Arabidopsis thaliana: one gene and its partners. The protein of the gene in region 1 interacts with the protein of each later gene in a pairwise test. Each region holds a gene or a part of one and is shown in the gene's direction. Other genes may lie near its edges.

Region 1 (4,531 bases):
AGTTATTAACATGTGTTTAGGGGTTTAAGCAAGTAGATTACTATAAGTACACTTTCTATGAGAAATCATTTTGTATTCCAAGCCCACAAGTCCAATAAAGCCATGTGTTTATGGGTTTGGACTTTGGACCATACACCCACTGGAATATCAAAGCAGTCTCCGTATTCATTCAATTTGCTATGAGCCAGTTGGTCCTTCCCTTCTAATGAAATACATGATTTTGGTGTCCCTCATTTTATAAAGCACACTGTCCAATCCAATCTTCATAATATTAAGCATCTACTATTTAGGTTCACTGATCATATGATATAAAATCTAAACATCAAAGGTGACACCAATAATTGGAACTAAGTTAGGCAAACTTAACCGTTTACATGTAAGGAACCAATTATCACTTATAAACCATTCACAGCTTTTGATGTAGTTAAAAAAGATTAGATATGAGCTCCAATATAATGCAGATTCAACAACAAAAACAATACTAGAGTTATATACTCATATGTCACTAATTATTTTAGATATATATTGATAAGTTTGTATAATTATTAACTTATAATATTGATGTGATCATACATTTAATACATAATTTTAAAAATATATATTATTTTATTATCTTATGGATTTGTATTCAATATTACACTAGATTAATTCAAGAACAAAAAATAAAGTTAGGGTTAAGACATCATTGAGTCACCATGCCAAGTGGTATGTTCATTTTTGTTGTATTTCTTCTAATCTTTCATCCAGTGCTACTATCAGCATAGATCAACAACGTTGAGACGAAAAATCTGTATTAAAACGTGCAAGATAAATTGAACAAACACATATTATTTCCACGTTTTAATAATCATCGCAAGTTTTTGCAAATGGTATGTATTCAACTAAATCATATTTCTAAAACGTAAAAACGTGAAAACCCGCATACGTATTATCTCGAATAGGGAAAACTTTCTGTCATATGTTGTATCGAAGATGGAATGCCATAGAAACATCTACCTAAACTTATAATTTCAATTTTATATAATCTATAAATGCTACTATGCTCATTATCAAAATACTTTACTATTACTTTCTGGTTTTAATATTCATCTTAACGATTTTCAAGTGATATACTTTTTTTTTAATTTATAAATTATGAGCAAATGATAAGATATTTTTTAGGATACTTTCAACTAAATCTGTAACAAATTTCACCAATCTATTTAAATTTCAATTGTCTATGTATGCGAACATCAAGCAATAATCTAGTCTCTCCATAAGTATAGTATGTATGTGCTGGATTTGAATTTGCCTAAGATATTATTATGTGCACTTTGGAACGGTTATTTTTGACATCAAATATTCCTATCTATGTATATGTAGAAAATGATATAATTCTAAATTTGATAAGTTGTTTCCTTGGAAATTTCGGAGTAAATATAGGAAGCTTTGCTTACCTTTATCGCACCATCTAAATTATAAAGACTTAACTTTTTGCCCCTCAAAGTCAAATTATGTCCACTCATTTTTAATTATTACAATTTGCATATTAATGACCTAATTAGTGGATTTCATTCGTATTAAAAACATACTTATCGATTTATCTAGAGACAAAACAGTAATTTAAAAGTTACACATGCTTCATATTCCCGCCTGGTATCCATTTTAGGTATTAAAGAGTCACAGTTATTGTTGACTCTGTGGACTTTTGATTTTTCCCTCATTTTTAATATTAATTGTCATTTAGTTTCCTTTTTTTTAATTTATTATTCTCCACAAAACACAATATGTAATTAATTGAAACATTCCTAATATCATTTCTTTAATATTTCGTTTGCCTTCTTCTACTATTTTTATTCACACTACAAATCAAATCACATCTCTCTTCTTCTTTTTGCTTTTGGCCTTCTTCTTCTTCTTCTTCTCCTCCAAGAACACTAAAATATTTTTGGATGATTTTGATCGGAGAAATATAAAATCTTCTCATCTGATCTATCAAAGGAACTCAGTTTCTCATACCAAAATGAATCTGGTACATGCTCATTTTTTCTTATTAATTTCTGCAGTGTTAGTTTTTGTTGTTGTTGTTGTTGAAAACAAATCCCTTCAATTCAAGTTCATAGTTTCAATATAAATTAGAAACAAGAAAATTTCTGCAAAATTTATAGTTATGATTTCTTCATATAGCCCATTTATAAATTCTTTATAAATTTCAATAAAAAGTAAAATTTCTGCAGATTCCATATCCTTCAAAAATGTAGTTTTATTTTTTTTTTCTTTTCCTAATTGTAAACTGATCTCTCTAATTCAAGTTTTAAATTTCTTCATATAAAAAAAATAAAGTCAATAAAGTTTCAAATTTGTACAGATTGTTTTTTTCCGGATAATATTCATGTTTTTTTCTTCTTCATAGTAATTCATTATAAATCATAATTAAGTTTATGCAAATCTAAAAAAGTAATAGCAATAATTTTTGTAGAGTGAGAAGAGAAGAAGTGAAGAAGTTTGGATTGAAACACTACTGAACTCAGAGTTCTTTGGGATATGTATGAATCATAAGTATCTTAGAAAGAACGAGAAGAATGTGTTTTGCATTGATTGTAATGTGGAAATATGCAGACATTGTTGTAACACAGTTACAGATTCTCATTTCCTCCATCGTCGTCTTCAGATCTGCAAATACGTTTACCAAGATGTTATTCGTCTCCTCGAAATCCAAAACTACTTCGACTGTTCCGAGATTCAGGTTTTTTTTTTCTTTAAATATCTAAATCATTCAATAATTAATAAAATAATCATTTGAATTCTTGTTTTAGAGTTCCAAATTAATGTTTTTAATTTTGGTATTGGTTGGCAATAATTTATGTATGGGGGAAAAAGACATATAAAATAAATGGAGAGAAGGCAATACATTTGAATTCAAGGCCACAAGCAAAAGATGCAAGACCTTCAACAAAAGCCAAGAATGGTGCTTCATGTGTGACTTGTAAAAGATATATTCAGGATCATCCTAATCTTTTTTGCTCTATCTCCTGCAAGGTAATTTATGGTATCTTTTGTTAAAGTTTATATTTCCCTTTGAATTGTGTTGATTAGTCTATTGGTAGTCATCTACCTTTCTTAATCTTTTATTTATTGGTAGTTATCAAACATATAAAACAATCATTTACAGAATAATCTTGAAATGATAAAAAAAAGTTAGTCTTGAGGCATATAGTTTTGACATAGTATATAGGAAAATTATGAGTGATTTGAATTGTACACATTTTCAACTGTACATTGTCTTGTTCACACTCAAAAATGTGTATAGTTTTGTTTTCGGTTAGAAGATGCGCAAATATTTTTTAAAAGTGTTTCATTTTAATACTTTTCTTAAAAATCATTGTTTTGAAATTACAATATATAATTTCGAAAAACGTAATCTACATTAACAAGTATCATTTAATACAAATTGAAATCACTTAATACATGTGAGTTGTATAAACACGCTTTAAAACGTTAAATTTGCGTATATTGTTTGAAGTCAAATATAAGAATTTGCTTTTGAGTTTAGAGCATGCTCTCTAATAGTTGAAAGACATTTTTTTTAATATATTTTCTTTTTGTAGATTTCAACTCCTTCAAAAAAGCATAAATTTTGTTTTTCTCCAAAACTAGAACAGAGTGTTTTGGAGAAAGAACACTCTACTCAAGAAGGAAGCTTAGAAGAAAAAAAATCGTGCACATCGTCCCTCACTGATGTTTCAGAAGATTCTGAAGTTTTATTGAGTGATTTTTCATTTAGACCACTCTTGAGAATACTCAAGAGAAAAGGAATTTCTCGAAGATCTCCTTTCTATTGATTTTTTTTTTTCTTTGGATTTGTCATCAAAGCCATACATTATGTGTATTTTATCTATGAAAAAGATATTATATCGGCTATCAATATTATTTTAACAAGTTAATAAGTTTTGATGAGAAATAGTGATGTTTTATTTTTTTGCTAATAGGCTAAAAAAATAGTGATACAAAGAAAAATAATAATAGTGATGTGTAATGCGTATGTATGAGTGATTTATTTATTATTCATCATGGAGAAAAGAGAGAGAGATATGGGCCCAAAAAGTTTTTTTGGTTCATGAGAATGAGATTGTGTTGATTCACTGGAACCCACAGTTTTAATGAAATACAATATATAAAAATGAATATTATGCAATATTCTTAACGCTTTTTGGGATGAATTGATAGATACACGTTGTAATGACAAATGATGGTATCATTCGTCGTAGACTGAGGTTCCGAATGCAGGCCGAACGGTATGATGTGGTGCGGTTCGAACAGTAACAAAAATATATATATATATATGTAAATATTTTTGTTATTATTAGAACCGCACTGCATTTTATCCACAGTTAAACCGCACGTTACCATTCGGAGCCAAGTCATAATTTTTCTACGATATTATCATTTGTAAAAATTACATGGTTTGGTAAACTTCTCCATATTTCAATTCCTATTCCTGTATTTTTGCAACATTCTCTTTTTGGTTTATAATAAAAATGAAAAATTATAC
Region 2 (4,206 bases), about 15 Mb from region 1:
TGCCTTGCTAATCCTGCAGAAGATGGCAGTGGAATTACGCACCTTGAGAATCTTGTTTTAGAGGTCTTCCCTTTCACTGTTACTCAAAGCATCTCCAAATATTATATATGCATCTCATTTCTGAGAGTACTTAAATCTTTTTTTGTAGAGTAATTATCGTGCTGTTCGGTTTAATCCCTACTTGTGGCCATCGGGTCAGAAGGTAACAGTTTAACCATTCCAATGACCTTAGATCAAGTTTCCACCGTATTCTGTTGATTGTCAATGACTCAACACAGATGACAAATGCTGTTGGTAAAGCCTTGTTCTCTAAAGCAGGGGAGCTTTGTGTGCCTGTTGGCTTCATGTGCATGAAGGTCTGGTAGTATTTTCACCTTTGTGGTCTCCAAAGTTGTGTGGTTTACGCGAAGTTCTTTCGTTAAGAATCTTGTTTTCTTTATTCAGGGTCTAGATCTTCACATTGCAGAAATTGAGGAACTTTGCACAGAATTTCCAAAGACAACTGTTTTACTAGATCACGCTGGATTCTGCAAAGTACCAGAGTGAGCTGTTCTTTGCTTTTTGTGAAAAATAATCCCGTCCCCTGAAATTCCTATAGAATGTAGTACTAATATTCATGGTTTCAACAACCTGCAGAAGTGGTGAGGCAAAGCTTGCTTATTCTCAACTCATGAAGCTGTCTAGATTTCCACAGGTGAAAAAGAAAAAAAAATTACTTTTAGAATCTGAATTCTCATAGATTATAGATTATACGAGTCTGAGGGAAGAATATTGTAACAAGCAGGTATATGTGAAATTCAGTGCTCTATTCAGGATCTCAAGAACCGGCTTCCCGTATCAGGACCTATCGCCTCTCCTATCTCAACTTGTGTCCCATTTTGGGGCAAATCGTGTCATGTGGGGCAGGTAAACATACTTATTTACCTCGCTTTCCCGACTAAAAACCACAAAAAACCTTCTATATCTACTAACAATACATGATCATATACGGATTGGCTGTTTTCCATCTGCTGCAGTGACTTCCCATTTGTTGTTCTTGAATGTGGATATAAAGAAGCTAAAGAAGCTGTGACTATCATTGCAAAAGAAGCATCCTTGTCAAGTTCTGAGATGGACTGGATTCTGGGAAAGACTCTGATGCAGCTCTTCCCTGGACAATGGGTTCTTCCTTGAGAGGCTTGTCAGAAGTAATAGGTTGCATGCGGATGAGATAATGAAGCAAGCAATGGAAGTTGTATCATTAAAGATACTTAACTCTAGCCTATATATTACCAAACACTAGATGTATACCAATTTAGTAAATCAACAAAAATCTTATGTGTTGATATCATAATGATTCATCGTGAGATGATGGAGGGCCTGGATGTTGATGTGCTCTGATCGAAAATTTCTTCCACAATGGGTGAGCTGCTAGGATCCCCTTTCCGTGTTCAATGAGGTGAGGTGATAATTTATAATCATCGGTGGCTTTGCTGGGACATTTATGAGGGATAAGTTTCAAGAATCAAGCTTCTCTCCAGTAGCTTGTTTTACAAGTAAGTAAGAGTTGGCGTCTCCGGTTATAATTTATACCCGTGTAAGTTAGTTTCATCTATTTACGAAATCGCCATGATGGAGTATCGAGTTGTGCAAGTGATAGCAATGTGGAATTCAAAGAGACAATTGAGTTTTCTTTGAGAATTGAAAGAAGTGGTGATCGAGATTAGTCAGCATTGTAAAACTTGTTTGGGTTGGATTCTTGAAATGTACAAGCGCGGTTTCATATGGTAGAATCGATTCAGAGAGTGTGAAGTGAATTTACACAACTTGCTAAACTAGTAGAGCAAGTGAAGCTCTTAAAAATAGAAATCCTCTCTGCCTAACAACTTTTGTTTTACTCGTCTTAATTATCAACATTAGTTAAACTTCTTTCTTTTATTTAATCTGTGACCATTATTGATTTTATAGCTAATCACATTTTGATCCTTATATAAATGCTACTACTAGTACGATTTTGAGTGGCTTTACTCTACTTTACTTTCCACTTCCTCTTCATCTACTCTTTCTCTCTCTATCTCTTTCCACTTCCTCTTGCTTTTACTCCTGGGTTAGGGTTTAGGGTTTCTTGGTCGACGTGATGAGTCATCGGCGAGATTACGGCAGTGATGCAGTTCACGTGAGAATCACCCACGACCCTCCGCCTGAGAATTGTTTTCCAAATTCCGGCGACAGTTCCGTCTGGGCCACTGAGGATGATTACAGCCGTGTCTGGGCCATAAACTCTGATGGCGCAGAGTCTCCGAGCAAGAAGACACGATCTTCCTCCTCCTCCGAGATCGGGAAATCGTTCTTCAAGACGAAGCTTTGCTTCAAATTCCGCGCCGGAACTTGTCCCTACTCCGCGAGCTCTTGCCACTTTGCTCACAGCGCGGAGGAGCTCCGTCTTCCTCCGCCGCCGCCGCCCAATTGGCAGGAGACGGTGACAGAGGCTTCAAGAAACAGAGAAAGCTTTGCGGTTAGTTTAGGCCCTCGTGGCAATGTTGCTCAGACTCTCAAGTCTCCGAATTGGAAGACAAGGATTTGCAATAAGTGGCAGACTACTGGCTATTGTCCTTTTGGTTCTCACTGCCATTTTGCTCATGGACCTTCAGGTAAAGCTACGGCCTTTTTCATCTATTAGTAACCCCAACGAATGTAGTTTAGAAATGGGTTTTAATCGGTGTTGCTTGATGAACTGTGAGTTTAGAGTGTCACTAGAGGTTAATGGATGCTAATTCTCTGGACTAAGAGATCATCTTTGAACACTAGAACTATCTTTATTAGCTTAAGTTAAGTCTGTTGAATTGTATATGTAATGGTATTGGTTTCCTTGAGGATTCTTTATATGGACTGTGGGTGCCAATTAGTTAATCGTGCTTGGTGAATGGATTGGTGACAATGTCTATTAATGGACTTAAAGTGGATCGAGTGAGATTGTTGAAATGTTTCCTATTGCTACATTGCCATTACGTGATGATGTCAATTGGTTTCTGATTGGAAAGAATTCTTGATCTGCTTGTTCCTAATGGCTATGGAAATGCAGAAAGTTTCAATCGTCGCTAGCTAAAAGTTTGAGTCTTTATGGTATCTTTTGCAGAGTTGCATACATTTGGCGGAGGACTCGTTGAAGGAGAATGTAAGATCGGAACATCCGCCACTTTGGACACAAAGCAGAGAGGACAAGTAGACACAGTGACTAGCCTTGTTTCTCCTGGAGTCTCATCCCAACGGACATCTAGTGCTGTTACGCAGAAACCCAACGGAGTCAGAACTCAACGGAAATGGAAAGGACCAGATAAAATCAGTCGTGTTTATGGTGATTGGATCGACGATATTGAGTAAAGTCACTGCATTTTCACTGATTTGTTGATCAAGGTATAGCTTCTTTTAGACTTGTAACTGTGTGGACATATTAGCTTCCTCCCTTCTGTGGTTGTAGATTGTGACTCACTCAACAAAGACAAAAACTCTCATCTTTTTGTTTATTCTCTTTGTCAATCCTAAATCTAATCTTGCAGAAGATCAAACCGAACTAAATAATGTTGCGTACTTGTAAACCGGATCATCATTGCTACCTAAACCTTTTTCTTTATTTCCATGGTCAATATTAATTTTTCGTTTTGAGTTATTTTTAACAGTAAAATGATTTATTATTAAGACAACGATTTTAACTGTCACAAAAGACTCGCTCAAAATGGTAAGCAAAGCCACTTCTGTCTCTCAGACATAGCCACTTTATTCTCCTCATTTCTCTCTATTAACTTGAACAATAATACTCCTTTTCTCACAAGGATTTGTAAGAACAACCTTTCTTATATCCCAAGCAATCTACGAAACTGGTAGAATCTGGGGGTTTCTCTAATCATCAACCTTCAAATGTCGTCAACAACATCAATAGATTCAATACCAGCTACTGCTGTTTTCCCTAGTGTTTCCATGCCTGTCACCGTAGTTTTGACCGGTGTTCTTCTCTTTGTAATTTTCGCCGGATTCTTCTCTCTTTTCTTATGGCAGTTTCTTCTGAATCGATTATTTACTACTTGGAACCTTCAACGAACACCTTACGGTGACCTAATCCATGTGGCCACTCCGCCTGAAAATACTGGCCTCGACCCGTTTATCATCCGGTCCTTTCCTGTATTCCACTATTCATCTGCAACTAAGAAAAATCATGGGACGGAATGCGCT
Region 3 (4,107 bases), on another chromosome or scaffold:
TCGAAGACTTTTTACGTAGGGTCTTAGCTAAAATAGTGAAATTTGCATATTATTTTTTTAAGAAAATAGAGTATGAAATGTTGTTATCAAACGGATCCTTTACAATGAATGCAATCATCGAAAAAAAACCATAAAAATATTCTTAAAAAAATTATACACTATGAAAACTGTGATGTCTCATCTCTTTCAAGGGTTTAGGCTTAAAAGCTTCCCTTTTCTCTTATACACTGTCGTTAGTTTTAAATCTCATTACTTATCATCAATCTGTTCAAACCCTATCTACTTTTAACATAGAAAAAGATTCCTTTCCTTCCCTCTCTACCCTTCTCTCTCCATCTCTTACACTATTTACACATCAACAATTTGTTAAGTAGCAATTGAATATGAGAGAGAGAGATATAGGGAGAGAGATTGTGTGTAGAACTGCAAGTTAATAAAGAATGTGGGGGTAAAGAGTACACAGTAGATGAAGACAATGAGACTTAGTTTTCAAACTTCTTCTTTGCTTTGGCTTTTATTGGTCATATCAGACTCTTTATTTATAGATGATCTACTTAGCTCTCTGTGTTGATTCTTAGCTTTCAAAGGTAGCTTTTGGCCTCACCCTATATACTCTATACAGGTTACTGCACATATACATTGGTATGGACTTGCCACTAGTGCCAAACCTTTTGCACATTAATTTTCACATATATATAAGTAGATTTAGATGGTGTATATATAAGACAAAACAATAACTGAAAATCTTAGGACCAAGAATGAAGGCATAACCAAAGAAGGGGGGAACCACATTGTCAGTTTTTATGGAGTTTTTGGGGGACCATTAGTTTCGTTTCACTCTTTCTCTTTCACTTATTTAAGCTTAACTTTGACAAATACGTACCCCCACCTATATTACTACACGAAATTACAATATATTTATATATAAAATCTCATCAATTTCTTTTCAACTACATTTATGTTTCCATGTTTATAAAATTCAGTCAATTAAGACGGTGGTTTAAATGTTAAAGGCCACAAGTAGATTTATGTGAATGTTAAAAAGTCCCAAGTTTAGAAATTCCGTCAAATATAATTAATCCATGCAGATTTTGATTTACCATTTATTGGTTTACACTAGATTTTCAAAAGGAATATTTGGTGCATTCACACAAGGCTCAAGATTGTTTGTTTTTTCTTCAAAAAATATGATATTATCAAAACCTCTAATTTTGTAGCAAAATCAATTTTATTTAAATCTAAAACATGTATTGTCTTGGTTGGTTCACATCATCTTGCAAACTCTGTAACACTATAAATTGTTACAATTTGTATGTTTATCGAAAAAGCGCAACGATAATATTGACATAAACAAGTAGATTAGGTGTCATGATAGTATATATATTATAAAAAAACTAATACGAAAGAAAAAACAGTTTCCCGAAAATAAATTAAAAATTCCAAGTTTGACCCTTGGACACAACAAAATATATCAACCTATATTAATGTTAGAGAGATGATGGATGATGATTGATGATGTGCAAATGAGACAAAATTATATCACACTTTCCTTTTCAATCTTTAAATTCCAAAACAAAAGGTACTGTTGGGTTGCTCCCTTATTAGGTGAAAAAAACCTCACACAACACAGACAATTTCACTCTGTCTCTTTCACTACACCTCTATATCTCCCTCTAGATACATATCCCTATTTATATATGTATTGTTTCGAACACTGCGTGCTCTCACACTTTGTTACACCTCCAAAAGACAAAGTACATAGAAGAAGAAACTTCTTGTCACGCCTCTCTTACCCCTTCCCTTGTGGTCCAATAAAACCCTAATTTTCTTTTCTTTCTTTTATCCATTGTATTAGATCCTATATCTTTCTTCCTTATAGACCATCTCTCATGTCTTCTTATATATATTAAGATATTCACAAGAACTACAAAAGAAAGAAAGGAGATGGAGTGGTCAACAACGAGCAACGTAGAAAACGTGAGAGTAGCTTTCATGCCACCGCCATGGCCGGAGTCTAGTTCCTTTAACTCGCTCCACAGCTTCAACTTTGATCCTTACGCAGGTATATTCACACACCATCGTACCAAGTCTGCATATGTTACATGCTTTCGTTTTTTTTACTTTTAGATGTGTTTAATTCCATATTTGACGAATTCATGAACTTTAAAACCTTATTTATCCCACTTGCAAATGTTCTCAAGAAGTTTTTTTTTTTCTGTGAATGATGTAAAGAATTTCAAATATGACGTCCCTAAACTTCATTCCAAATGTCAACTAAAACGTTACTTTTCTGATGAGAAGCTAAGATTTTCTTATCTTCAGTCTACAATATCTATAAATAAAGTTTCTTACTTTTTTCTTGGGATCCTACAAAAACAATTTCTTGGGATCCAAATGCAAAAAGGTAAAACGTCACTTTTGAAAAGTTGAGATTCGTTTATGGTATAGTTCACTCTAAGAAAAATGGTTGCGGACATAATTTTATTCTTCTTATACTTTTGGAAGTTTTTTTTTTTTTTTTTTTTTTTTCGTATAATGATTATATTGTTGCGCTTCTATGTTTAAATATTTCCTTTTATCCTTTCGGGGCGTTTGCTAAAATGTTTAACAGCAGGAAATTCATATACGCCTGGCGATACACAAACCGGACCGGTTATCTCTGTACCGGAATCAGAAAAGATCATGAATGCGTACCGATTTCCGAACAACAACAATGAGATGATAAAAAAGAAGAGACTAACGAGTGGACAATTAGCTTCACTTGAGCGAAGTTTTCAAGAAGAGATCAAATTAGATTCAGACAGGAAGGTGAAGCTGTCGAGAGAGCTCGGTCTGCAGCCACGTCAGATAGCAGTTTGGTTCCAAAACCGCCGTGCACGGTGGAAGGCGAAGCAGCTTGAGCAGTTGTACGACTCGCTTAGACAAGAGTACGACGTCGTTTCTAGGGAGAAACAAATGTTACACGATGAGGTTTGTGTATTATATTGCACAAAATTAAAATCATGGGATCTAATTACATATTATCGTTTTCTTAATTTATCCCTTAAAGTCTTGATTCTATCAGATTGCCCCCCTTAAAAAATTGGATTGGTGGTGCAGGTGAAGAAGCTGAGAGCTTTACTAAGAGACCAGGGTTTGATCAAGAAGCAAATCTCTGCCGGGACCATCAAAGTTTCCGGTGAGGAAGACACGGTGGAGATTTCATCGGTGGTGGTAGCTCATCCAAGAACGGAGAATATGAACGCAAATCAAATCACCGGAGGGAATCAAGTTTACGGTCAATACAACAATCCGATGCTGGTTGCTTCCTCTGGCTGGCCGTCATACCCCTGATAGATGTTGCTGATCTCAGAGAGAGGGAAAGAGAATGAGAGAACGAGAGAAAGAGAGAGAGAGAGATTGTGTCAAATAGAGCTTTAGACTAGGACTTTAGTAGTGTTATAGACTAAGACAAGCTTTCTCTCATTGTACGATCTTAAAACATAAATGGCACGTTCTTGGATGCGAGATTGAGTCTGAAAATTGTTGAGTTGGTTTTGTTGAACAACTATACTATGAACACTCAGAATTGGCGAATGTCCGAAACAAAACTAGCTATAAACCAAAATAATGACGAGAGTAAACGAGATTGTACAAATCTTGACACTGATGCTCAGCATTTTCCGCTTCCCTTCACCGAACTTGAGACCTCTTGACGCAAAAAAAAGCTGCTTAGGCTTTGTGTGTGTGTGTGTGTGTGTGTGTGTTGTAGCTTGGTAAAAAGCTAATCTTTATATGTACATGACTGTCTCCAGGTAAGCTTTGATTGAAGAAGGCTTTAGTTGTTAAATATTTAAGAACTTTACATTTCGAATCAGAGATCATAAAAATTGTAACCTTGACAGTATTCCAATAACTGTCTCATATTGATAAAACATCAGACGCAAAAGCCATAAAGTGATCAGAAGTAGTACGAAGCTGCCACTCCATTGTTTATATTTGGAACCGTCGTTGCTAGTTTGTTTGGGCCTAGTCAGGAGTTATTTTGGGCCTAACTAAGAGTCAGTGAATCTGAGCTTAAAGTTTGGTAAGATGTGTAACTTGTAATGGGCCAATCAAATTTTGAAC

What was found.
Region 2: the proteins of AT2G01818 (region 1) and AT2G35430 interact in a two-hybrid assay, tested with the Arabidopsis thaliana proteins (one large-scale study listed by BioGRID).
Region 3: the proteins of AT2G01818 (region 1) and HB51 interact in a two-hybrid assay, tested with the Arabidopsis thaliana proteins (one large-scale study listed by BioGRID).

The regions. Positions count from the first base shown.
Region 1 is NC_003071.7:352,842-357,372, reverse strand, and holds AT2G01818 (PLATZ transcription factor family protein), read left to right. Parts: upstream 1-1,778; 5' UTR 1,779-2,002; coding exon 2,003-2,011; intron 2,012-2,458; coding exon 2,459-2,725; intron 2,726-2,859; coding exon 2,860-3,018; intron 3,019-3,587; coding exon 3,588-3,821; 3' UTR 3,822-4,029; downstream 4,030-4,531.
Region 2 is NC_003071.7:14,900,168-14,904,373, reverse strand, and holds AT2G35430 (Zinc finger C-x8-C-x5-C-x3-H type family protein), read left to right. Parts: upstream 1-1,988; 5' UTR 1,989-2,116; coding exon 2,117-2,630; intron 2,631-3,115; coding exon 3,116-3,360; 3' UTR 3,361-3,670; downstream 3,671-4,206. Other genes in the region: AT2G35450 (catalytic/ hydrolase), read left to right, coding at 1-63, 149-202, 279-356, 445-542, 637-694, 785-906, 1,017-1,173; AT2G35420 (RING/U-box superfamily protein), read left to right, coding at 3,895-4,206.
Region 3 is NC_003076.8:1,003,041-1,007,147, forward strand, and holds HB51 (homeobox 51), read left to right. Parts: upstream 1-1,741; 5' UTR 1,742-1,944; coding exon 1,945-2,062; intron 2,063-2,614; coding exon 2,615-2,970; coding exon of another isoform or gene 2,971-3,078; exon of another isoform or gene 3,079-3,099; coding exon 3,100-3,333; 3' UTR 3,334-3,591; downstream 3,592-4,107. UniProt on the Arabidopsis thaliana protein: Putative transcription factor.